7 linked regions of the Rattus norvegicus genome follow. The protein of the gene in region 2 interacts with the protein of the main gene of each other region in a pairwise test. Links are inferred from orthologs where the notes say so. Each region holds a gene or a part of one and is shown on either strand. Other genes may lie near its edges.

Region 1 (4,017 bases), on a different chromosome or scaffold from region 2:
GTAAGATTCTTCCATGAAAGGAAGAATAAATGTGAGGTTCTGAGAGCCCAGGAGTTACCATGGGGACTCCTGCCCTGTGAAATTACATAAGCAGGCCTGGCTTGGAAATCCTTCTTTTTTTTTTTTCCCTCTGAGTATCATCAAGACTACAGGTTAAGGACAGGTTAAGGCCACACCCTTGTGGCCACCGTCAAGGGTGTGATGTGATGATCGTCCTCCCAGAACATTCCAGCTTTTATTAACCCGATGCTCGTCCAAGAACTGGTGCACTAAAGGGCTTACTTCAGTTTAGCCTTCCTGACTTTCTGCTCAGGGTGTCTCAACAGACTGTGACAGTGATAACTAACGGTCACTCAGAAGTACTTCCAGAAACTGTGACAGTCGGCCAATAGTTAAAGTCCCCTAAAGGAAGGCACCTGGACAGGTGCTTGAGGAAACCCATTCACGCCCACACATGATTGAATTATGCTCAGCCCTTATACTGTCTCCAACACTGCCCCCGGCTTTTCCTTCTACGGAGGAAGCAGACAGAAGCAGAGAGCACGGATGCACTTTTGACCAGCAGAGCGACATACGATCCGGTCACTAGTTGCAGGACAGGATCCTGGGAGCCTAAGGAGCTGTTTCCCAAGGACAATCACACACTCCGCGTTCACGTGGGTGCCTCAGAAGTCAACTGCCTCTGAAGGGTGCCTGGGCCAGCTTTGGGACACTTGCAGAAATACCTTCTGTGTCCTAGTAAAATAATGTGGTCTCTCAAGATGCTGGCCAGTCTTAGAAGGCCAGTAATATTTCTTTTAAACTTGACAAGTCTGAACAGAAAATAACCCCACACAACCTCCAGGCAGTTGAGCGACTGAGTTTCTGACTGAGACCTTCTTTCTGTAACTCTTCCACTCGGATGCCAAAACCAGGTTAACAGCTCACTGCAATACTTCATTAGATAAAAATCCACGATCAATCCACGACACCACCATCCACTCCTTCCCCCTTCAGCAATTCTCTGTTCTCTCCCCCAAATGTTTAGCTGATACTTATACATGTACGAAGTTGACATTGGTTCCCTTTTGTACACAGACCCTAATTATTCCAGCCTTAATGCATACCTGCCCCTCAATCCTTGGAGATAAATGTTTTTGAATGGGGTTGTATAATGAGCAGTCGGGTAGCTTTGAATGACAGAGCCCGAACCAGTCAAAGGCAGCAGGAAGCACAGGCCTAAGAATGCCTCTGCTCGAAGCACAAGGCCCTGGGTTCGGTCCCCAGCTCCGAAAAAAAGAACCAAAAAAAAAAAAAAAAAAAAAAAGAATGCCTCTGCTCAGCTGAGCTTTAACAAATGAACTCTTATAAGTTTTCTTCTGAGGTCACTCGCAGCTCCGACCAACAGAGTTGCTAACAGGGCCACGATGCGTCTCTTCCCACTAACTTTCCCCTAAATGGCCCGACTTCAACTGTCTCCACTTTCTCCCTGGTTCCTGGACGTCTTTGCCAAATGGACCAATTCCTTCCCTGCCTAGAAGAAACCTTTCTTTCTCCTGGACCCGCAAGCTGAGAGAGGGCCACATTCCAACAACTCTACAAGTTCCCCACTCAAGACTTTTGTAGCTTTCTCGTCTCTGTTTCTCCGTGGGCCTGCCATCCACTGTTCTGAAACTACTGTCCGGTTCCCAGCCTCTTCTCTGGGTTCAAAACGGCAGCTGCGAACAAGTCCCTGGGGGCAGGTCAGCGAGTCCCGATCCCACCAGCCGTTCTCCGAGGGTGCTGTGCCTGCACCCGGTCCCCGGTCTCCCCACGAGTCTGCTTCGACAGGGTCTGCACCTACCTCTCCCGCGGCGCTGCAGCCGGGGTCGCTGCTCGCTGGCCTCATGGGAGAGCCTGAAGAGAAGTGACAGGGTTGACTGCTGCCACTGAACTACGTGAGCGTCGGGGTGTCCCGGAGGTAGGGCCTGGGCTTAGTTCCCGGAGACGAACAAGAGGGAGGAGCCCAAGTTATCACACCAGGGCGGGACCTGGCGTCCGGACAACCCAGACGGGAGCAGCGCCTCACGAGCACCCCCACGCGGGCTGCCCCGTTCCCGGGTGGAGCTCACCTCGATCCTATTGCCTGAGTGCAGCAAAGGGTGATCTGAACCAAACTAGGGAGTAGTAGGAACAAGTCCACACTACTAGATGGAGTCAGGGCTGGGACGCGGGGTTTCTTGCATCTATTTCGTAAAACGGGAAACTGAGGCCCTGGGGGGCTTGTGTTTGGACTCCAGATTCCGCAGCAAAAACCTGGAATTGTCCTCCAAAAGTGTCAAATCTCAGGTTGGGGATGTGCCATAACAGGACTTGCCACATCTTTTCTGTTCAGGACGTCCCCCCTGGCTACGTTTCGCGGGCTAACTCGGCGCAGGGATTTCGGGGCTCCCCTCTAGGCTCCATCCCAGCTCGAGTCCCTGAGATGTTTCTGCACGTTGAAGCGACAAACTACCTGAGCCCTGTGAGTCAGTGTAAGTGAGACAAGTGGTTAAGTGGCGGGGAACTCTCCAGCGTGCCCCTCACCCGCAGATTTCCTGGCCCTGTACCTTGAGCTAGAGGCTTGGGGAGGTACGTACCCGGTACAGCTCTTGACTATGGAGGGGAGACCCTTCAGCCCGCCCCACCATCTGAGCTGGATGACAGTGACAGCAACCACGACGGCAAAAGCGGGGCAGGCACTCGGCTTGGTCCTTGCAACAGCAGCCCTCTCACCTGCTCTCTGGCTTTCAGCACTCTGGATTCTGGCTCCAGCAGCCCGTGGCGCCCTTTAACTTTCCAGCCACCTCTCCCTACTAAGGGTGCTCTCCAAGACCCCCTTTTCCCTCCCCCACGTGAACGCGGGACTCAGCCAATGAGCAATCTGGACACGAGCCGCGGACCAATAGCCATACTTGGGGCGAGCAGCACTCCGCCACGTGATCTGCAGCGTGTGGCGAGTGACAGGGCTGGAATCCAGGATTTGGGACAGGGACAGCAGGTCACAGTTTCATCAGGAGCCGGGGTACCCACGCCAAGGGGTGGAGGCGATTTCCTACGGTGGAAGGTCCGGTTGTAGAGAGACTGACCCAGGATCATAGGCTGTGTGCAAAGTTCCCTATTGCTTATAACAAAGTTCTAACCAGATCATAGACTCCCGGGTGTAAAAGGCAGTGTTGTGTTGTCTTTCCACTGGCTCCTCCTTTGCCCTATGTAGGACAAAAAGCCCCAGGGTTTACAGATGGCTATGACCTTCCCAGAGTGCCTAGAGGCAAGTATTCTCCACTCCCTCCCCATTTTGATTTTATCTGCATCTTCAGCTGTAGTGTCCCAAGCATTCGCTGAATCCTGCTTTCTGGCCATTAATTACGCTAGCAAAATCTTTTCCTTGGAGATGTTATCTGGTGGAACATCACTCTCATGTTCACAGGACTGCAGTCGTGGCTGAGGATTAGTGGTGTATTTAGGAGACTGCCTGACTTGGATACAGTAGCCATCTGCTGTCCCCAGCCTCTGTGCCCCTGGGGTTCTGTACATGATAGTGACTTTAGGAACCAATGACTCCTCTTGGGAAATCTATGGATCTGAGCGGCCACTTGAGGTAGGCTCATAGTTTTCTACCTTTAATGAGTAGTGAATTTTTCGGGATGTTGCTAATTGATACAGGGTTGCCAACTTTAAAAAGTGTTAAGTCAACACATTAAAACAAATCTACCACCCACCCACCCTTACTGTTTTGAAACAGCATCTTGTTATGTAGCTCACAGAGATCTCCAACTTAACTCTGTAGTTCAGGCTAGCTGCAAATTTATGGCTTTCCAGGGATTATCAGTGTGCGCCACCACTTACTGACTTTTTGGTGAGGTTTGTTTGTTTGTTTGTTGAGACAAAGCTTTTCTAGGATATCCCTGGCTATCCTAGAATTCACTCTGTAGACCAGGCTGTACTTGAACTTAGTGAATTAAAAAAAAAAGAAAGAAAGAGATAAAGAAAAGAAAGAAAGAGAGGGGGAGGGAGGGA
Region 2 (4,161 bases):
TGCAAGACATATAGAGAGCCAGTGTGAACAGCCAGACTGAGGCTGGGGTTCCAGGAACCAGTCCTCAGTCACGGGGGAGTCAGGTAGTCCCTGAGGTACCACAAAGACCAAGTCTCTGTGTAGAGACCCACCCCAGGCCTGGCCCCTAGCCCAGCTCACCTCCTTGCTGCACCTCACCTCCTCCTCTCACTTCCTCCTCAGTCTCAGCTTCAGCAGCCTATTGGGGGCCCCTCCCTGGTGGGGGGACTCCCCCCTTCCTCTATGAGGTTCTTCCTGCTTGCCTTAGTGCCTGAGCCACGGACTCCTCCCATCACGGATGGGAGGTGTGAAGAGTCCCCGACTTGCCCAAGTTGAAGATGACAGGCCACTATCGGTTTTGAGGTTACTTGCGTGTAAAACCAACTCATGGTTCCAGTAATAATTATGCTTTAATGTCGTCCCACCACTCCAACCCACTGTCCTGGGTTTTCTTTTTTGAGAGTGAAAGGGTACAGTCTGGGAACAAGGGTCTCACGTAGCCCAGGCAGGAGATGAACTCACTATGTAGTTGAGCATGACCCTGAACTTCTGATCCTCCTGTGTCCAGACTCCTGAGTGCTGGAATTTCAGGCACTGGAATTACAGGTTTATGATACATTGGGTTCTTTAATGTGTTACTGTTTAAAAATAATACCTTTCCCCCCTTTTCTTTCTTTACTTTCCTTCCAGAGCCGGAGATAAAACCTCAGGCCTTGCACATGCTAGACAAGTCCAAGCATTCTACAAAGGACTTACAACAGGAAGGAGATAAAATAGTATTACATCACTTAACGAAAAAAAAAACCTGACGTAGCAGGCACCAAGGCAACCTGGACCAAAACATTGCTTCGAGTTCAGTAGCAGGTGTTCATGGGTCTGGCCATAAAGACCGAGGTGAATGTGAGGCTCTGGAGGTTTGGAGCTCACTCTCAGTGTCATTGAGCCTTAGTTCCTTTTTCTGCACTTCGAGGAATTACTTTACAGTGTTTGAGAAGTCAGCGATTAACATGCTCACACCACAATCCCACGCAGGGCTGGGGTGGGAAGAGACTTGGAAAGAGAAAAACAATTTCTACAGTACTTCCGGTTCTAACTCATCAGAACGCAGCAGGGCGATTCCTCCTGGGTGGAGCCGACCCAACTCCGCCCTACAAACCCCGCCCTCCACCCCTGCCAGGCCTCGCCCGGCCGCCCGAGGCCCTCCCCGGCTGCAGTGCTTCCGGTCCAGGGGAGGCGCTAGAGAGCAGGGAACTACGGACGCGGCAGGGCGGGGCGGCCGGCCGAAGAGGCGGGGCGGCGGGCCGAGGGCGGGCTGGGGAGGGCGGAAGGAGAGCCAGGCCGGAAGGAGGCTGCAAGAGGGCGGGAGGCAGGAGAGGGCCCGGAGCTGGTGGGCCGGAGCGGCGGCGCCGCCATGTCCGACAGCGAGAAGCTCAACCTGGATTCCATCATCGGGCGCCTGCTGGAAGGTGGGTAGGGGTAGGGAAGGTGCGCGCGCGCCGAGCCTGGGCCCATCGCCGTCCGGAAGTAGAGCGCGGGCGGGCCCGCCGCTCTCGGGGGCTAGCGTCGCTTGGGCGGGGACAGGCCGTGAGGTTCTATGGCCACGGCAGCCCTCCCTACTCCCTGCGCCTAGGCTTTGGAGCGCGCTCCGAGGCCGGGGACGCTTGAGTGGCCGAGACTCAGGGTGAGACTCCTGCGAAGCTAGCTGGGAAGGGGTTCTGAGGCGAGGAAGCTTCGGTTGACAGGCTGCTGAGCACAGGCGTGTCTCTGGAGGGCCTCCGGGTGGCTAAGGGGTCGTATCTTGCCTTTGAAGGCCTGATGCAAAGGTTTCAGCGGGGGCTCCCTTGCAACAGTTGCTGGTGTTGGGGAGGGGCGCATGACATTCGGTCTGCGAGGTCAGGGTCCCAAGACCCTATTCCGTACCCAGTGCAGGGCTCACGGCCTGGAAAGAATGTGCAGCTGACAGAGAACGAGATCCGTGGTCTTTGCCTCAAATCCCGGGAGATTTTCCTGAGCCAGCCTATTCTTCTGGAGCTTGAGGCGCCTCTCAAGATCTGTGGTAAGCCCTTGCTCAGAACCCCTTAGCTTCCTCAAAATAGCCCCTTACTCCTGCCCCAGTACCTGTGTTTCCGTTGCTGGCCCTGGGTTCAAGTTTACATCTTGGACCTACCTAGTCTTCTCTGGTTCCCAGGTGACATCCATGGCCAGTACTATGACCTTCTACGGCTGTTCGAGTATGGTGGCTTCCCTCCAGAGAGCAACTACCTCTTCTTGGGGGACTATGTGGATCGGGGAAAGCAGTCTTTGGAGACCATCTGCTTGTTGCTGGCCTATAAGATCAAATACCCGGAGAATTTCTTTCTACTACGTGGGAACCATGAGTGTGCCAGCATCAACCGCATCTATGGCTTCTATGATGAATGTGAGTGCTTTGAATGTTGCTGGTTGCCCAGAACTACATTTCCTGCACTTCATGGGCCCCCTAAATTGTTCTAGTGCTGAGAACCCTGATGATGGGTCCTGCAAAGCCCCAACCAAGCTGTCTGTTATCCATGGCACCAAGGAAGGGCCTGGTGAATGGATGTACATGCAGGGCTGCCCGTTTGCTAAAGCTTCCTCCACAGCCCTGCCCGATGACACTTCCCTCTATTGCATCCCTTACTAAGCATTTAGGGTGCATGTTATGAATAAACCAGACACTGAGGTTAGGCCAGACTGGAGTTCAGGTTCTTGTGGACCCAGGTGTTGGAATTCTGGAAGGTAGATGAGGGCAGAGCAAGGAAACTGTAATAAGCTTTCTTTGCCTTCTAGTCTTTGCACTTTGTCAGAGTAACCCACAAAGTACCCTGGAGGAGTGCACAGAAAACTATAGACTGGGTTTTGTGTGGTGGGTGGTCTTCCCTACGAGCCATTTTCTTCTGTGCAGGCAAGAGACGATACAACATCAAACTGTGGAAGACTTTCACCGACTGCTTCAACTGCCTGCCCATTGCAGCCATTGTAGATGAGAAGATCTTCTGCTGCCACGGAGGTCAGGATGGTTGTGGGGTCTGTGCTTGGGCTATATCCTTAGGGGCCTTGGAAAGTTAACAGAACTCTCCTGTTTCCTGGAGTAGCTCTCCTTGAATTTGGCTGTCACTTATTACAGGTCACCCACAGCCCAGTTTGTTTTTGAGACAGGGTTTTTCTGTGTTCTGGAACTCACAAGAGTTCTGGTTATCTCTGCCTTCCAAGTGATGGGACTAAAGGCCTGCACCACCTCACCTGGCTACACACCCCAGTTCGACTGCGCTTTCCTGTTGTGGTATTTAGCATGCTATAGGCAACTCATTCATCTCCTTCCCCCACGGAGGTCTACTCTTTTTTTTTTTTTTAAATATTTATTTTATTTATTATATATGAGTACACTGTAGCTGTCTTCAGATACACCAGATCTCTTTATAGATGGTTGTGAGCCACCATGTGGTTGCTGGGAATTGAACTCATGACCTCTGGAAGAGCAGTCGGGTGCTCTTAACCGCTGAGCCATCTCTCCAGCCCGTACTCTTTGTACTTCTAAAAGCTGAGGGATGGCCAGGTGGCGGTGGCATACAAAGGGAGTTCCCTGGGTTGGGGATTTAGCTCAGTGGTAGAGTGCTTGCCTAGCAAGCACAAGGCCCTAGGTTCGGTCCCCAGCTCCGGGAAAAAAAAATGTTAATACATAAAATATCCAATAAAAAAAAAACTGAAAAAACATATTCCTAAAAAAAAAAAAACAAAAACAAAAACAAAAAAAACAAAGGGAGTTCCCAGACAGCCAAGGCCACATAGAGAAATGGGGCCAGCAGGAATATAATGAACTCTGTTTCCCTAAACTTAAGGAGCCCAAAAGATGAACCCAGCGTTGGTGGGGAAAGTGGAGCTGACCCCTGAGACCTTTCTGGGCATGGGATAGTACCTGCTTTTCGGTGTAAGGAACACTATTCTCACTCTACCACCCCAGGCCTGTCTCCAGACTTGCAATCCATGGAGCAGATTAGACGTATTATGCGGCCCACGGACGTGCCTGACCAGGGCCTGTTGTGTGATCTGCTGTGGTCTGACCCTGACAAGGATGTTCAAGGCTGGGGCGAGAATGACCGTGGAGTCTCCTTTACCTTTGGGGCC
Region 3 (2,490 bases), on a different chromosome or scaffold from region 2:
GTGTGTTCCCATTTGCCTATCAGTGTGTATAGATGGCCAAAGTAGGGAGGGCCTGGGAGAACAGACGTCCCCAGCAGGTCGAGAAGCCAGGAGCTCCAATTCCGGGGGTTTTTCCTCCTGGTCCAGGGCAGGGTATCTTCCGATGGGCAGTCATGTGGGCAAGTGTGGCCATTGATTGAGAGGGGCAGGAGGCAGGATGCTGGTTCACAGTCTAGGTGTTCCGCTTTATGGGCCCTTGGTGTATTCTGTGACCTATGCCAGGGTCACTTTGCTGCCTCAGGACAGGCTCAACTCCCCTGCCAGGCTAGTCTCCCATCCGGTTGGGCCTCTGGCTCCTTCCAGGGGAAGAGGGGGAACCTGAGCTGGCTGTTGGTGTCTTGTGCCTAGGAGTTTAATATTTCGAGCCCAGCAAGACTGCTCCATCTGCTGTAGGCAAGTGCTCATGTTCATCACAACCCTCTGCTGAGCTCTGCAGAGGACTGGGAACCTCAACAGTCATCAGTTGTGGAGGAGGGGCTCCCAGCCCAGGGAGCAGACAGGAGGATCATGACAGGGTTGCCCACAGCTTTCTGTCCCTTAAAACCAGGCCACTAGGAGAGAAAGGAGACTTTGATTATGAAATTCTGGAGCCAGTGAGGCACACAGTAGGGTAGAGGAATTGGGATCACTGATGGGATTGCTAGTACCCTAGACTCTATAAGTGGGGCTCCCCACTAGCACCAGCAACCCAACCGAAGCAGGCCCCCGACAGTGATGGTTGGTGCTAGGATTCTTTCATGCACGGACATCCAGAATGTGGAATTAGCGTTAGGAGCTGCTGCAGGCAGAGGGTGGGTAGGTGGAGTCTACAACTCTTGGTGGAAGGGTCTTCTCTCCCTGTTTAGCATCTTTGCTTAACGGAGTGGCAGGGCCCCTGCTGACGTGGCTCTCACTCCTAGATGAAGATCTCCTTCAATGACAAGAGCCTGCACACAACATTTGAGTACCCTTCTGAGAGCTCTCTGGCCCAGGAGGAGGCAGAGGAGGAAGAAGAGGAGGAGGAGGAGGAAGAAGGAGAGGATGGTGAAGAGGAGGAAGTGGGGCCTGACTCAGAGAAATCCTTCACAGTTCTCTTGCCCCGGGCCACATTTGTAAGCAGTGTGGGACCTGAGAGCAGCTCAGGTAATCACACCCGTTGGGATGGGCAGCCTGGGAGTGGAACCTGGACCACACTTCTAGGTACCCATACCTGTTGCCTTTGGATTGCAGGTCTGTCCAGCTACACTCCAAAGCATTCCATGGCCTTCAGCAAGTGGCAGGAGCAGACACTGGTGCAGGCTCCAACTGAGGTGGAGCTCCCACCAAAAGAGGTCATGGTAAGCTGGGTGAACCCCCAGACAACCAAAGGAGGCTGACTGGCTTGGGGAAGGGTTGATGCGTGAATGAGCCTTAGTGGCTATATTCTATTCTTTTTCTCAGCTCACACCTGCCAGTCAGAATGATCTCTCGGACTTCCGCAGCGAGCCAGCCCTCTATTTCTGACCCCTGCAACTGTCAGGATGGCCAAGACTTAGCCCCAGGTGTGGTGGTCCTGGAAGCCAGTCAATACCCAGGAGCCCTGACTGTATTCTGTGCCCCTTCCACCTGGCTCTCCCTGCCTTCTTTCTGTGTTGTCTCCTTCTGCCTTTAGGGCCAGATCTGAATCTCACGCCAATGAAGAACAGGTGGGAATTGCCTGTGGGACAGGCTGACATCTGTCCATATTGTCTCATCTGTGATGAGGTGGAGGCCTGAGCAGATCTTGTCCCAAGGTGCTGTTGGACATTTCAGCCTCTACCTTTTGGGGAGTGGCCACTGTCAGGAGTAAGAGGCTACCATAGCTATTTGTTCTTTGCCGAAATCCAAGCTCATGATTCTACTATGGTGGACCTCAGCCACTCCTCATGAAAGATGGCAGGGTGTTTTTTTTTCTCCCCTCAGATATTGGAATCAATAAACAGCACTGTAACAAGGCTGCTTTTGCCTTCTTTACGAAGCCCTCAGTCTAAGAGCAAGGTAGAGGCCTAACTTGAGCACCTGTGTGCAAAAAAGCAAAACGTGAGCTCAGTCTGGCATTGTTACACTTTGAGCTCTTGCTGGTCTGCCTCTTACTCTTGTTCTCTCCCCACTGCAAGCCTGGTACTTTCTCCCTCAGAGCTAGGACCATGGGAAGTGGACCTAATGTCTGGACTGTGCAACTCCATGACCCAGGGGCCTAGATGCCAGATGGGAGGAAGGTGGGTGCTGTAATTGACAGGATTCAGTGCAGGGCCAGGAGCCTAGTAAGGTAGCTAGTTGTGTATCACACAGGAATGGGGCTAAATGGAAACTTGGAAATCTTTTCTCACATTTGATTTGGATACCTCCTGACCTATAAGCCTGTAACAAGGCTGTAGCAACAGAGTTCCCAAAAGTCTAGGGAGATGCAGAGCTGCCTACTTGGAAATTGTTCTCAGAGGCCTTGGCAGCCAG
Region 4 (3,500 bases), on a different chromosome or scaffold from region 2:
GGTCAGCCGAGCAGTATTAGCATTTGGGTCCTCTGAATAAATGGGACCAAGAAAGGATTGACCCAAAGAGAATTTTAGGAAACAGCCAGGAAAATCAGAGAAGACATTTTCAAGAGAAAAAAGTTACAGCCTCATTCGGCAAAACTGTTTATCATTTTGTCCTCTTTGCCACAACAGGCCATGCATATTATAGTTTATCTGTGCGCACTAAACGCCATGGAGAATCACAATGCCGAGAAGCAGCGATTTTCCTGAATGAGACTTTGAGAGCCCAGGCTTGCTACTATTTGATCAGTGTCTGGAAGCTAGAAAGTGCAGCAGATGGAATGCTAGCTCAGCTGAGCTTTTCAATAGACATTTCTTATACCGAGTAACTCTGTGTCTGGAGTCCTTGGAGACAATTCTTCATGTTCCCTAGACATGCAGCCCTGGAACAAAGTAAAACCCCCCTCGTGGGTCAGAGAACAATCAACCTCTAGGGGAAGCTGTATCTGAAGTCCTTTCCAGCCCCCCTACTCCAACTCTTCTGAATACTGAGCAGGGGAAACAGAGAACTCTCTGTCCACAGATCTGGCAGGACTGCCATCGGCTACAAACCCACATCCTCACAGCACCAGAGGGAGAGCGTGGGGAACCATTTGAAAAGCAAAGGGGAGAAAAGGCATTCCCATTCAACTGGATAACAGGGCTGGGCCCTTTGTTTTCTTTTCCTTTTAGATTAAATGTCTTTTATCCCAGCTGAGTTCAGATGATGTTAAACGGCACTTACAGTCCCCTGTGGCCACTTGTGTCCCCTGTTTTAGCCTCCTAACCTTAGAGTCTGAAACACACATCTCTCAACTAAAGCCACAGGTAAAGATTTAGTAAGAAACAAAACAAAGGGGGTGAATATGACCAAAACAGAGTTTGGGAAATTCTCAAAGAACTAATAAAAGAATTTTACAAGAAGATGTGAAAAAACCCACTCCACCCTGTTATAAGGTGGAGTCATAGACAGACAGACAGACAGATAACACTCACCAAGAGCGATATCTGCCCTTCGTTCACAATGTTCAGTATGCTTCTTACTTTCTGCAGGTACTCAGTCCTTTCTTCTGCGCCTTGGGCACTGGCCCAGCTCACGCCGTTGACCTGCTCCTCTGGTTTGGCTCCTGCTGCCGAGGTCTGCAGGCGGAAGGGCCTGAGCTTGCAGTCTGGCCCAGACTTCTCAGCTTTCCGACTATGGGGATCACTAAAGACCTTGTTTAAGAAGTCCTTACTGTGGTTTTCTGATTCAAATGCAGGGCCGCATTTACCAGGAGCGGGTGAGTTCTCCGATTCTTCCGCAGGGAGCTTGTGCTGGTCCCGGAGGACACTGGGTACTTTCCGTAAGTGAGGGCTTTTCACAGGAGAAAGAACACACAATGGAGCCATGTTGGGTGTGGAGGTCTCAGCGCTTACAATAGGGCAGGTTTTGGCAGAGAGGCCATTGACAGTTGTGCATAAACCCAAAATCCTTTTTTCTGAAGTCACCTTGGTGAGCGGGGCCAGCTGTTGACTGGATTTAATGTAAGGCACATCCAGAATCTCATCCATGTCGAGGTCATAGTGCTCCAGCTCACCCAGTGCCTGGCTGGGCTCTGAGCCCTTGCCTGGCAAGCCTCCGACTCCATCTTCAGGGCTGAGCTCCTCAGGCTGGGGGCCCTGGTCAGTCTCCCCCCCTTTCTGGTATTCCACTGTATTGTTCTTCTGGTCGTCACTTTCATTGCTCTCCAGAGTCTCTGGCTGATGTTTCAGTGGAGAAACTCGCTTCACCGGGCGGAACTTACTGTATACATCAGCGATTCCAGTGGGCTTTTGCGGGTTTGTAATGAGAGTTGAGACACCACAATTCCAGCTAGAGCTAGAAACTGTTTAAAAAGAAAATAATAGAGGATACTATTCAATTGGAATCTGAACACAGTTTGGCCACATAGGTAGGCATGTTCATTTAAGTTATGCTGACAGTAGGTCCCTGTGTGAGGCGATAAGCCCGAGAGGATGAAAGTATCCTTACTACTGCAAAGGCAGAGCCTGATAAGAAAGCTATGCCATGCTGACTCAAATTAATTAAAGAAGCAATAGTGATCGAGGCAGAAAATTAAAATAAATGAACCCTGACAGACATTACTGAGAGTTTCTGGCACTATTTACATGTTTGCTACTACCCTAAAACAAACAAACAAACAAACAAACCAAACCAAACCAAACCAAACCAAAACAATAACAACAAAAAACCCAAGAAAGAAAAATAAAAACAAAGTGGGAATGGGCTTCCAAACTAAAGCAGTGCACACGCGAACATATAGTTGTCTGTATGCATCTCGAATGTTTGAGACATCCATGTGAAGAACATAACTTATCTTCTACAAACCCAAAGTCTGTCCTACTGTGTGACTCAATAGTTCCTACTAGATAGTAAGAGTAGGAGAAGAGAAGCATAAGGCAGCCAGGTGCTCATCTGTCCATGGAGACAGACCATGGTTGAGCCCGTGTGTCCTGTAATAAATGTCCTAGTCAACCAGTATGCGGGGCCATCTCATGGTGCTTCCTAGGTCATGACACAACCACAAAATGCATTTCCACTTGACAAAAGAACACACTCTTTTTAAAGAAAATACTTTTTATTGATTTTCTGTGAATTTCACATCATGGACTCCAGTCTCACTCATCTCCCTGTCCCCTTGCACTTGCCCTCTACCCTTGCAACAACCCCCCCCCCCAAGAAAATAACACACAAACTAGAAATACAGAACAAAACATGAAAATATCTCCAAGAGAAGGTGTAGGGTGTCACAGAGTGTCCTACAGCACACCCCTCTGTCCACACATCTTGCAAATGTTCACCACAATGAGTCATTGGTCTGGCTTGAGGTCTCTGGCTTCTGTGACACCATCAATATTGGATCCTCACCGGGACTCCTCCCAGTTACCCTGTTGCTATCCTGTGTCATGGAGATCCTGCAGCTTTGGATCAACAGGACTGACCCTTTCACAGGCTCCAACAGTTCACAGATGATGTAGATTTTGGCCATCAAGGCCAACTCCACTGTGTTGCCCTGGTGAGGTACATGGCTCACTCTCCTGGGTACTGAAGTTAGAGAGAGGCAGGGCCTGCTGCCGAATGTGAGAGGTGCGGCCAGCTTTCCAGAGTACCACAGCCAGGGATGGGTGAGGCCAGTTCTGCACAGCCATTGGATATCCATGCGGTCCCTGGCAGCTGCCCCAACCAGGGACTTCCCCCATGGTCTCTAGTGGTAATATGAGCCACAGATGTCAACACTGCCCTCTGCCTCTGCGTGGCTATGGGACCTAGACATGGCCCTCAGTAACAGCACAGGCTGAGACTTTACGATGGCCTCAGGTGGGGGGAAGCTGGTGGCTACTCACAACAGGTTACTCCTTTCTACCTTAGAATTTCCAGTTCCATCTCTCTTCATAATGCTCAAACTGTTCCACTGTCTTTCTCTCCCATCTGTCTG
Region 5 (3,978 bases), on a different chromosome or scaffold from region 2:
CGTTATGAGAAGGGATGTGCACAGTGGAGACATGACTATATGACCTAATTTGTCAGAACAGAGAAGGGCATCGTGTGCTTCTCAGTAACCAGTCCTTCCTTCTCTCAAATTCACAGAAGGAACCCAAGACAATATGTTATTGGGTCCTTGACTCGTGGGACCTGCTGCTCCCTTGCATCCCTCTGCTTTAAGTAAAGCTCCCTCACTACTTTTGCAAATACCAGTTGGCTTTCATGTCAGGTCCTTGAATAGGAGACCAAGAGTCTAGGAACACCTTGCCCAGACCCTGAGCGCAGGAAACAGGCTAACCTGCAGGATGCTGTCTCTAGCATGACACACTGCGCTGCCTGGAGCTTCTTGGAACAGCTAATGTACACCCTCCACTGCGTGCACTTGTCTTAAGTCACCAGCCAGGAGGGACCAAGAGCAAAGATTCTTCCCTTCATCTATTCATGGCTCAGGTTTGTTCTGCAGCTGTTCCCTGTGGTGATCTGACGGGCAGAACTGGGTGTGGTCTGCAGCTGGGCCTGGTCTGTGCTCCGCTCTGGGGTGGCTGATGACTAGGAGAAGGAGATTGGGGGGACTTTGTGGTTCCTTGATGCCTGTGTGCACAGTGCTTAAGCCAAGGGCTCAGGCCAGTCTCTGCTGGAACAGAGTAAAAACTTCCTGGGGGGGGGGAGGGGTGATTCTTATCAGAGTACATTAACATCCAATGTCTGCATTTAATCCACAGTCCACACGAGGCATGCCTCTCAGGATAGCTATGGGTACAGCCCAACACTTAGATGACAATATTTGGCCATCCCTTGCTAAGGTAGAGGAACGCTGGAAAGGAACGCAGCATGGGCAGTAGGCAGAGCATGGGCAGTAGGCAGAGCATGGGCAGTAGGCAGAGCATGTACAAAGGTCCTGTGGCAGAGGGGAGCTAGTTCATCATGCAATCAGCCAGCCTTTAGACCACCATGGTGAGGAGGTGGGAAAGGCAAGTGATCAACTGCACAGATAAGCTGCCTCCTGTGTGTATTCTGTCAGAAGGAAGCCCAGGGAGGGACTACAGCCTTGACAATTCCCTAAGCTGTATGCATTAAGAGGTCCCTTAAGGTAAGATGGTCACCTAGGTCCCCAGGAGCCTGAAATCATCCCATGAGACCCTTCCCTGTTCTCACTTTGCAGATGAGATGGACCAAACTCCCCCAGCACGCTCCGAGCCTCTGGTCTCAGGGATTCGAACTCCCCCTGTGCGGAGGAACAGCAAGCTGGCCACGCTGGGCAGGATCTTCAAACCCTGGAAATGGAGGAAAAAGAAAAACGAGAAGCTGAAGCAGACAACGTCAGGTGAGGCCCCAGTGAGATGAGAGTGGCACGGGCAGGGGTCCCCACACCACACAACACATCACACAACACTCCACACAATGTCACACAACACAGCACATAACACGCCACACAACACTCCACACAACACATCATACAACACGGCACACAACACGGCACACAAAACATCACACAACACAGCACACAACACTCCACACAACACTCCACACAATACATCACACAACACAGCACACAACACACCACACAACACGCCACACAACACGCCACACAGCACATCACACAACACAGCACACAACACGCCACACAACACGCCACACAACACTCCACACAACACATCATACAACACGGCATACAACACGCCACACAGCACATCACACAACACAGCACACAACACTCCACACAACACTCCACACAACATATCACACAACACAGCACACAACACAGCACACAACACACCACACAACACGCCACACAACACTCCACACAACACATCATACAACACGGCACACAACACTCCACACAACACTCCACACAATACATCACACAACACAGCACACAACACACCACACAACACGCCACACAACACGCCACACAGCACATCACACAACACAGCACACAACACGCCACACAACACGCCACACAACACTCCACACAACACATCATACAACACGGCATACAACACGCCACACAGCACATCACACAACACAGCACACAACACTCCACACAATACTCCACACAACATATCACACAACACAGCACACAACACAGCACACAACACACCACACAACACGCCACACAACACTCCACACAACACATCATACAACACGGCACACAACACGCCACACAGCACATCACACAACACAGCACACAACACTCCACACAACACATCACACAACACAGCACACAACACAGAACACAACACACCACACAACACGCCACACAACACTCCACACAACACATCATACAACACGGCACACAACACGCCACACAGCACATCACACAACACAGCACACAACACTCCACACAACACTCCACACAACACATCACACAACACAGCACACAACACAGCACACAACACAGCACACAACACTCCACACAACACCTCACACAACACAGCACACAACACAGCACACAACACAGCACACAACACGCCACACAACACTTCACATAACACATCATACAACACTCCACACAACACATCACACAACACATCACACAACATGGCACACAACACAGCACACAACACGCCACACAACACAGCACACAACATGGCACACACCATGTTACACAACATGGCAAACAACATGACACACAACATGCCACACGTATGTGCATGTGCGTGTGTGTGCGTGTGGGTGTGTGTGTTTGTGGATTCGTGTACCATGCTGTGCCTGGTGCCTGCAGATGTCAGAGAAGGGGATCATATCCCCAGTAACTAGAGCTACAAACAGTTGTCAGCTGCCAAAGTGGGCGCTGAAAACCAATCCCAGGTCCTCTGGAAGAACAGCAGTGCTCTTAGCGGTTGAGCCATCTCTCCAGCCTCGAGGACTGCTATTCTTGCTCACACATCACACACTGCAGAAGTCCTCAGCTCACCAGTGACTGAGCCATGGCCATGACCCTCCCATTCAGACCAAGCAGGGGCCTGGTTATGGTGCTCCCTGCTCTTAGGATCCGCCTGTGGTATTAAGGGTCATGGTGCGTCCCCCCACCACCTCCCACCCAAGGATCCAGAGGTTCCCCACTCACTTGTACTGCAGCCTTATACCCAGCTGGTCCTAGCTCAGTGGGAAGTGGGGTTGCACCGTGTTGTCTAATTGCCTCTGCCTCACCAGCATCGACCATATAAACTACACCCCAAAGCTGCACTGTGGCATGGAGTCCATGATGGAATGGCCAAATGAGAGGCCACAGCATCACGTGCGCTGAGCAGGGAACCCCCTTCTTTGAGGGAGAAAAATGATTCAGAGAGGAGGCTGCTCACCCAGGGCAGGGAGGGTTGGTCTTGAACACTGGCCACCAACCCTGAGCTCTTTCCAAGCTCAGGGACCTGAACCACCAACCCCAGAAGCCAGGAAGCCTGGGCCTCAAGGCCCTCCCCCTGAGCCCCTTGCCTATTAGCTGCAGCTGTAAGCAATTAGTGAGGTTGCTGTACATGTGGAGTTAGTCCCAGCCCCCAGGGACATGCCTGGCAAGTGCCTGTCTCAAGCCATTGCCTCTGGGGTCCCAGGGGCCCAAGCTTCCTGCTCAGCTCTGAAGAGCCACGTGCCTGGCGCTGGGGGGATGGTGGAGACAAAAGCCCAGGCACTCACTTGCACCCAGCCTGGGGGAGGGGCAAAGGACGCCAGCAGCAGAGGGCTCAGCATTCACTCTTGTGTATGCAACTTACCAAATTATTTTAATCACTCAAGAAGTTGACTGACAAATTATTCTTGACAAGAATGAAAACAGGATGAACTGTTTAAGAATTCCCCAGTATCTCAAGTGTGCCAGGCAGGAAGTAGATAGAAAACCATGCTCCATCCCCAGGGTCCTGCAGAGGGCGACAGTGCACAGGAAGCCAGGGGCTGGGGCAGGTGACCTCTACCTTTAGGTGCATGGAATAGGAAAATGGACAAGATGGCATGAGTGGCTCTGGGCCCCAAG
Region 6 (3,500 bases), on a different chromosome or scaffold from region 2:
CTGGAGGGCTGCACTTGGGGCACACACTTGAGAGACTGAAGAAGCAAGAGGACCATGGGAGTTCCAGACCTTTCTCAAGAAACAGGCTGGGGCCTCATGCGGCTGAGACCGTAGCTAGACTTAAACAATTAAAACAGGCAGTTTCACAGGAAGTACCGCTAACATCCTGAGTGGGTGAAGAGAGCTAGAACAGTGGGGTCCTGGATTTTCCTGAGGGCTATGCGGGAGATGGTCATTGTTCTGCGGTGCTGGGAATTGAAGCCAGAGGAGGCCTCAAAGGCCTAACAGGCAGCCACTGGGTTAGGGAGCTGCGTCCCAGTCCTTTAGTGGAATAGGTCATCTAGGTCAGTAGGCACACGATTTACAAATGTAGGCCTGATTATCCTTGGCTGCTTAAGAAAAATTACTTCTCCTTACATCTCAGTTTTCCCCTCCCTTTTCTTTTACTGCCTACCTCTGTCATTGCCCAACCCACAACCCCAGAGGTGGGAGGAAGGGGCTCGGAACACCAGCATCGCCAAGCTCAAGGGCACAGAGTAAGCGGGATGAAAGGGTCCTCGGGGGCAGCTGGGTAAGATAAGGGGGAGTTTTAGTAAGAGAGATGGGTTTGGCACAGATCCAACTCCACGGGAGACTTAAAAAATAATAGTTCAAGGAAATCCACACGGCCGGAAGCAAAGGACCCTGAGGAGAGAGGCAGAGTGTACAATTGCTTCCAATCCCGTCCCTGAGTGCTTCCAGGCTAAGGAGCAGCCATTTTTCTAGAACCGTTAACCAGAGTTCAGTTAGATTTGAAGGGACGCTTAAGGTTTTTCCAAGAAAACGTGTTTTTTGCTCAGTGTTGGTTTCTTGTGTAGTTGAGACGGCATGGGGGGAGGGGATTCAGTGGACAGCATTCTCCTTTCCGCTATAGCATCCACATGAATATTTAATGACAGAGGTCCCTCCCACCCCCCCCATGCTCCTTCACCCAAAATAGACTGGAATGAGACATTTGTTAGCTGGAAGGGTATCATCTTTAAGCCCAGCTAAGATCTTAAACTGTAAAAAGTCCCGTCGTTCTCTTACCTCTTGTCTTTTCCTAATGTGACCTGTGGGCAGACCCTAGGAACACAGCTCATGATTCAGACTTATTTGATTCTTTAAAAACCTTCTAGATTTTATGTGTAGTGGCGTTTTTTTTTTTTTTTTTTTTTTTGGTTCTTTTTTTCGGAGCTGGGGACCGAACCCAGGGCCTTGCGCTTCCTAGGTAAGCGCTCTACCACTGAGCTAAATCCCCAGCCCCGTGTAGTGGCGTTTTTAATCTGCATGTATGCCTGTGTACCATGGTGCCTGCAGAGGCCAGAAGAGGGTTTCAGACTCCCTGAATCTGGAATTAGAGGGTTGGTTGCTGGAACTGAACCCGGGTCCTTTGGAAGAGCAGTTAGCACTCTCAACTGCGTACTACCAGCCCCTAATTATCTTATATATAAATGTTTTTAGTCAGGTACTGTGTATCCCTGGCTGTCCCAGAACTCACTATGTAGCCTAGGCTAGGCTCAGACTCAGAAAGATCCACCTGCCTCTGCCTCCCAAGGGCTGGAATTATTGCTTATGCCACCATGCCCAGCCTTGATTATAATTCTTAACAAACTCTTGATTGTAATTTTTCTTCTCAGCCAAACTTATTTGAAGGCTGTACTTGTTTGAAAGTTAAGGTGCTCAGGTTCATTTTTTGACATAAGTGCAGAGTTCTTTTCATGTGATCTGAGTAGATATTTCAGGAAATCCCCAAAGCACCCACCAGGTTTGCTTTAACTTTGTAGAGCTGATCTAAATTGCTACTAAAAGATGGAGACCAGAAAATCAAGATGTAGCCAATACCTCCCGTCACTACAGTGCATTCTGGGAAGCAGCTCTGAAGCCAGGCAGTCACGACTGCATGTCCCGGTCGGTGCTGTTAATCCTGCAGCACAGTCAGCAACTAGTGAGACCACGGTGTGGGGGTCCCGTGCCTCGTCATGTGTGGGATGCCTCTCAGCCTTTCTCCTGCAGAGTTGTGTTCTTTAGGAGCTTACGTCTAACGAGGGAGGAAGAGACAAAAAAGGCTTGTGCCTGCTGTGTCCTGTAGCCAGGGTAATCTCTTCCGCTTTCCCTTGATGGCTTCTTTTCAGAGGCCAGAGAGTGTAAATCCGTGTTTTCCTCTGTGCATAGAAAATGATGAGAGGCCATGAAAAAAATCTGGTTTCTGAATTGTATGTGGTGCCGGGATCAAAGTTGGGGCCTCGTGTACCCCGGGCTTGCACTCTGCCACTTGAGCCGCACCCACAGCCCTGCTCTCTGGGTTTTGAAGCCAGTGCAGATTCTAATCTCGCCCCCTTTTCTTCAGTACTAAGTTTGCCCTTTCTGAGAGTCTGATGAGACGATTCACACTTGTGAAGATCTGGGTCAAGGGTTTCCCTGGCTGCCAATGTCCTTCAGAATTGAGAGACTCGAGCAGAATTTCCCAAAATGTGTTCCAGAGACGATTTGCCCCCTAACATACTCTGGGAGCAGTGGGTTCCATAATCAGGTTGTGAAACGCTGAACTGTTTTCTCCCAGCTTTTACCTTGACCATAAGTGTATTAAAAAAACCCCTAGGAGGTACTGATATACATAGTCTTCTAAACTCTTAACACAGCAGTCCTATTTTCATTCAAAAGGCTATTAATATCGAAGGAACTAGTATATTTAAGATATACTCTTGGGGACAGGCCAGACTATATTATCTCTGGGATTAACACTTGGGTCTGGCTTTGGTTTAGGCAAAGCCTATGCTCTTTCTGATCTAGTCTCCCGGTGATACTTCAGAGTACTATCCTGTGTGGTCAGAAGGGCAGTGAGCAGTAGCCTGGGCCAATGACTGCTGTGGCCAGCAGGGCTGAAAGTGAGGCTGTCACTCCCCTGGGAAGGTGCTGCTGCAAACTGATTGTTCTAAGAGTGACTGAGGGGCTGGAAGGGAGCAAGTGAGAGCATTGGCCTGAGCCAACAAAGAAAGACCAGGTTGGAGAGGCAGACTCAGTGCCGGCCAGTTGCTTGTCTGCAGTGAGCGTGCTATGTTGACAGACTTGCCAGCTCTGTCTTGGGACCACACTGCTGACTGCTGTTCTCCCCTGGGCAGAGTCCTCATGCTCCTGGCTAGCTGGTGGTGAGCAGCTTGGGGCCATCGTGGTTGGCTCCCCAAGGAGACCTTTGGAAGCCAATGGATGCGTTCTCGGGCTCAGGCCTCAAGAGGAAATTCGATGATGTGGACGTGGGCTCGTCAGTCTCCAACTCGGATGATGAGATGTCCAGCAGCGACAGTGCAGACAGCTGCGACAGCCTTAACCCTCCTACGACTGCCAGCTTCACACGTGAGTGAGCCATTCCTTGTGCCTGACCCACACTCCTCAGAGAGCCCTGGAGCCAGCCCGGGGGTTTACCCTTCCCACAGCATGCCCTTGTATCTGGAAAACCTCACTGCTCCAGTAGCAGAGGCTAA
Region 7 (3,500 bases), on a different chromosome or scaffold from region 2:
CCCTCTCCTGCCCTCCAACTCAGACGCCCGTGGACTCTTCCAGGGCCCTGCAGCACAGCAACCTGCTTCAGTGCCTGGCCCAGTGTGCTGAGGTGACCCCCTATTTGCTGGTTATGGAGTTCTGTCCCCTGGTAAGTGGCCATCTGCGGGGAGGCAGCATTGTCTGTCCAGGTCCTATTCTGTAGCTCATTGTTCCAAAGGGGAGTGGGAGGCCCTTCTGAGCTGGCTCCTCTCCTGCTCTGCCTCTTGGGATCTTTTGTTATTTCTCCAGTAGAGTCCTAGTGGTCCCTGCCCTGCTCTGCCTCAGAGGGGGGTCTGCTTAGAGTGAGCCAGCAGCAGCAGGGGCAACACTGTGGGGTCTGGGGCAGTTCAGTGTGGGGAGTCCTGGGACAGCCACAGGCTTCACACAGCTCCTGGGGCAGAGCCTGAGTTTAGGATCCTCGTGTGGCTCCTTGGCCTCTTTACATGCGCAGCTCTGGTGCCAAAGCTGCTTCTGTATGAAGGTCACTGTGTCGGAATCCAGACATAGGCTTTGCTGAAACTGCTGCGAACACTAGGGCTGCCAGCTGATCTGCAGGTCACCCGACCCAGGTTGGTGGCGGGCTTGTGATGCGCTGGTAGCTGCTGCTAGCAGGTGACTGTGTGCTCTCTCGGCAGGGGGACCTCAAAGGTTATCTACGGAGCTGCCGGGTGACAGAGTCCATGGCGCCTGACCCCCTTACCTTGCAGCGCATGGCGTGCGAGGTGGCGTGTGGTGTCTTGCATCTACATCGTCACAACTATGTGCACAGGTGAGGGTTAGCGGGACTAGCCAGGCCGTGGACACAAAGCCCCGCTACCCCAGTGCCTTGACCCTGAATGCCTCTGTACAGGAAAATCGCAGTGATCCCACTCTGTGGGTCTTGTGAACTGGGTTCGTCTAATAGCCACTCTGCAGGGAATTTTATAATTCCTAAAATTGTGAAAACTAGGGGTGCTGGAGAAATGGCTCAGCGGTTAAGAGCACTGACCGCTCTTCCAGAGGTCCTGAGTTCAAATCCCAGCTACCACATGGTGGGTCACAACCATCTGTTATGGGATCTGATGCCCTTTTCTGGTGTGTCTGAAGACAGCCACAGTGTACTTATATATAATAAATAAATAATAAAAATAAATAAATAAAATAAATCTTTTTTTAAAAAAATTGTGAAAACTGGCTGGGCACAGCAGCTTTCGCCTTTAATCCCAGCGCCTGGGAGGCAGAGGAAGGAGAATCTCTGTGAGTTCAAGTCCAGCCAGGCCTACCTAATGAGTTCCAGAATACCCAGGGCTGTGCAGAGAGAGAGAGAGAGAGAGAGAGAGAGAGAGAGAGAGAGAGAGAGAGAGAGAAAGAGAGAGAGAGAGAGAGAGAGGAGACCATCTCAAAAAAAGTAATAAATTGTGAAGACTCATGTTTGAAACGTACCTTGGCAGACGATTAAATGAAGACATTCCTCCTGTCTGTTAGAACAGTCAGCCATACTTTGGGCCCCCACATGGCCCTGGTCTCTTTCCCTCACACCACAAAGGGAGTGGCTGGGCTGGCCCTGCAGTGGGAGGGGTGGCTCTCTCCTGCCTCTGGTGACCAAAAGACAGGCCAGGATGTCCAGTCGCCCGTGAGCCGGGGGGCACGGGCTGGAAGAAGTAGCGATGGACGAGCGGCCCGCCAGCCCCGACGCTGCCCAGGCCGTCCTCCCCAACAATATCCTGGTGCTGAGTGGGTGCACAGTGACTCCAGCATCAGTGATTTTGTTGAAGAGGGCAGCTGCCAGCCTCCTGTCCTGCCTGATGCCTAGCCCAGCTGCCCCACCCATAGGTCACCCAACCCCGCATCCGTCCCCTGGTACAGTCCTCCTGGGGTTGAGACAGGCCAGGATGACTCTGTCTACAACCGGAGAGCCCTCGGCGTACCGGCAGTATGGCGGATGAGGGTGCATCCCATAGCACTCTACCCCAAACACCAGGGGGCCTCCAGCCAAACTGGAGTTATATAGAGGCTGGCATCCGGGCTTGCCACTGAGTTGGAGGAAGACCTGGGGTGATTTTTATCCTCCACGGAGGGGAGCTCTGTGGTCCACCCTGTTCTAGACCTCGGCTCCAGCTTGTGTAGGAGGGCGGGGAGGTCTACACTCTAGAACATAGGCTCTGACTGTTGGCAGAACCCTCTGATTCCACTCCAGGCCTTGGCTTATTAGTTCTTATCTCCTGGGGATTGGGATGACAATGTGGTGTACTGGGGTCAGAAGGTTGAGGGCCCTGATAGGACACTGCAGACACACTTTGTCTGTGGCTTGGGCAGATTAGGAAGAGGGCAGAGGGGGCTAGGGCTCTGGTGAGGTCTTGCTGGGGGGGTGTCCTTGATCATCTTTTGCCTGAGTTTCACATGCATTGCCAAGTGCAATGTACCGCCCACACAGATCTTCCAAAATGGCCATAGAGAGTGCAGAGCCAAAGCTTGGGCGCAAGAAAGTGGTCCCTCAGACATCCCTGCCTGTCTGTCTGCCTGACTATGCCCGGGAGCCAATCGCCCAGGCTGACACTCTGCTGACACTGCCTACCCTTCTGCAGTGACCTGGCCCTGAGGAACTGCCTGCTGACGGCTGACCTGACAGTGAAGGTTGGCGACTATGGCCTGGCCCATTGCAAATACAGGGTGAGTAAGGGCAGGCAGAGCCTGTGTGCAGGGGTGGCTGCTGACCGGGCTCACTCCCGACCTGTCCCTGTAGGAAGACTACCTCGTGACGGCCGACCAGTTGTGGGTGCCGCTGCGTTGGATCGCGCCAGAGCTGGTGGATGAGGTGCATGGCAACCTACTGGTGGTGGACCAGACTAAGACCAGCAATGTGTGGTGAGCACAGGCCTGGCTGCTGGAAGGGTCTTGGGATGCCGCCTCCCCAGGTGCCAGGGCATCAGCTACTCTAGTGGGGATGCAGCTTTAGCTCTGCTGCCTGCTCTAACATTTTGACTTCCTTCTCCAGTTAGGGTGAAGGCTGGCACCCAGGGAGAATGCTCATGCCTGCCACCCAGTGGCCTTAAAAGCTCATTCACAGGCTACTTAGTTGATGGTGGGTTTCTGAGGTTCCTGTACTGGTAGAGTCAAGGGCGTGGGGCCTTCAGGACAGGACCAACTGACACCCACCAATACTGGGGTCATATTTTGGTTAAAACCATCTTGAGCTGCTGTTGTAGGCCACGTGTCCCTATGGGATATAGGGCTTTGACTTGTGTTTGTGCCAGGAGAAGGGCGGCTGTGGCATAATGAGCTCCAGTCCTGGAGAGGCTGGCATGAGACAGGTGTTCAGGGGTTCTGGGCAGTCATGCTCAGCCGTGTGTCACTGTGGTTGCCCCTGCAGGTCCCTGGGTGTGACCATCTGGGAGCTTTTCGAGTTGGGCGCGCAGCCCTACCCCCAGCACTCGGACCGGCAGGTGCTGGCTTACGCCGTCCGAGAACAGCAACTTAAGTTGCCCAAGCCCCAGCTACA

The links.
Region 1: the proteins of Ppp1ca (region 2) and Ppp1r3b interact in binary tests that used the Homo sapiens proteins (3 or more experiments, as listed by UniProt). The link is inferred for Rattus norvegicus from reciprocal best matches to the Homo sapiens genes PPP1CA and PPP1R3B.
Region 3: the proteins of Ppp1ca (region 2) and Tprn interact in binary tests that used the Homo sapiens proteins (3 or more experiments, as listed by UniProt). The link is inferred for Rattus norvegicus from reciprocal best matches to the Homo sapiens genes PPP1CA and TPRN.
Region 4: the proteins of Ppp1ca (region 2) and Sncaip interact in a two-hybrid assay, tested with the Homo sapiens proteins (2 studies listed by BioGRID and IntAct). The link is inferred for Rattus norvegicus from reciprocal best matches to the Homo sapiens genes PPP1CA and SNCAIP.
Region 5: the proteins of Ppp1ca (region 2) and Phactr3 interact in a two-hybrid assay, tested with the Homo sapiens proteins (2 studies listed by BioGRID and IntAct). The link is inferred for Rattus norvegicus from reciprocal best matches to the Homo sapiens genes PPP1CA and PHACTR3.
Region 6: the proteins of Ppp1ca (region 2) and Csrnp2 interact in binary tests that used the Homo sapiens proteins (3 or more experiments, as listed by UniProt). The link is inferred for Rattus norvegicus from reciprocal best matches to the Homo sapiens genes PPP1CA and CSRNP2.
Region 7: the proteins of Ppp1ca (region 2) and Aatk interact in binary tests that used the Homo sapiens proteins (3 or more experiments, as listed by UniProt). The link is inferred for Rattus norvegicus from reciprocal best matches to the Homo sapiens genes PPP1CA and AATK.

The regions. Positions count from the first base shown.
Region 1 is NC_086034.1:63,542,876-63,546,892, forward strand, and holds the start of Ppp1r3b (protein phosphatase 1 regulatory subunit 3B), read right to left. Parts: upstream 2,801-4,017; 5' UTR 2,598-2,800; intron 2,592-2,597; exon of another isoform or gene 1,823-2,591; intron 1-1,822. UniProt on the Homo sapiens protein: Acts as a glycogen-targeting subunit for phosphatase PP1. Facilitates interaction of the PP1 with enzymes of the glycogen metabolism and regulates its activity.
Region 2 is NC_086019.1:210,913,215-210,917,375, forward strand, and holds the start of Ppp1ca (serine/threonine-protein phosphatase PP1-alpha catalytic subunit), read left to right. Parts: upstream 1-1,361; 5' UTR 1,362-1,429; coding exon 1,430-1,484; intron 1,485-1,942; coding exon 1,943-2,074; intron 2,075-2,206; coding exon 2,207-2,437; intron 2,438-2,941; coding exon 2,942-3,046; intron 3,047-3,997; coding exon 3,998-4,161. UniProt on the Homo sapiens protein: Protein phosphatase that associates with over 200 regulatory proteins to form highly specific holoenzymes which dephosphorylate hundreds of biological targets.
Region 3 is NC_086021.1:28,479,811-28,482,300, forward strand, and holds the end of Tprn (taperin), read left to right. Parts: intron 1-938; coding exon 939-1,161; intron 1,162-1,248; coding exon 1,249-1,355; intron 1,356-1,458; coding exon 1,459-1,521; 3' UTR 1,522-1,990; downstream 1,991-2,490. UniProt on the Homo sapiens protein: Essential for hearing. Required for maintenance of stereocilia on both inner and outer hair cells. Necessary for the integrity of the stereociliary rootlet.
Region 4 is NC_086036.1:48,502,973-48,506,472, reverse strand, and holds part of Sncaip (synphilin-1), read right to left. Parts: intron 1,890-3,500; coding exon 1,021-1,889; intron 1-1,020. UniProt on the Homo sapiens protein: Isoform 2 inhibits the ubiquitin ligase activity of SIAH1 and inhibits proteasomal degradation of target proteins. Isoform 2 inhibits autoubiquitination and proteasomal degradation of SIAH1, and thereby increases cellular levels of SIAH.
Region 5 is NC_086021.1:185,719,807-185,723,784, forward strand, and holds the start of Phactr3 (phosphatase and actin regulator 3), read left to right. Parts: upstream 1-1,178; coding exon 1,179-1,335; intron 1,336-3,978.
Region 6 is NC_086025.1:133,482,369-133,485,868, reverse strand, and holds part of Csrnp2 (cysteine/serine-rich nuclear protein 2), read left to right. Parts: intron 1-3,140; 5' UTR 3,141-3,221; coding exon 3,222-3,372; intron 3,373-3,500. UniProt on the Homo sapiens protein: Binds to the consensus sequence 5'-AGAGTG-3' and has transcriptional activator activity. May play a role in apoptosis.
Region 7 is NC_086028.1:105,794,619-105,798,118, reverse strand, and holds part of Aatk (serine/threonine-protein kinase LMTK1 precursor), read left to right. Parts: intron 1-43; coding exon 44-131; intron 132-657; coding exon 658-791; intron 792-1,691; exon of another isoform or gene 1,692-1,794; intron 1,795-2,586; coding exon 2,587-2,671; intron 2,672-2,744; coding exon 2,745-2,866; intron 2,867-3,371; coding exon 3,372-3,500. UniProt on the Homo sapiens protein: May be involved in neuronal differentiation.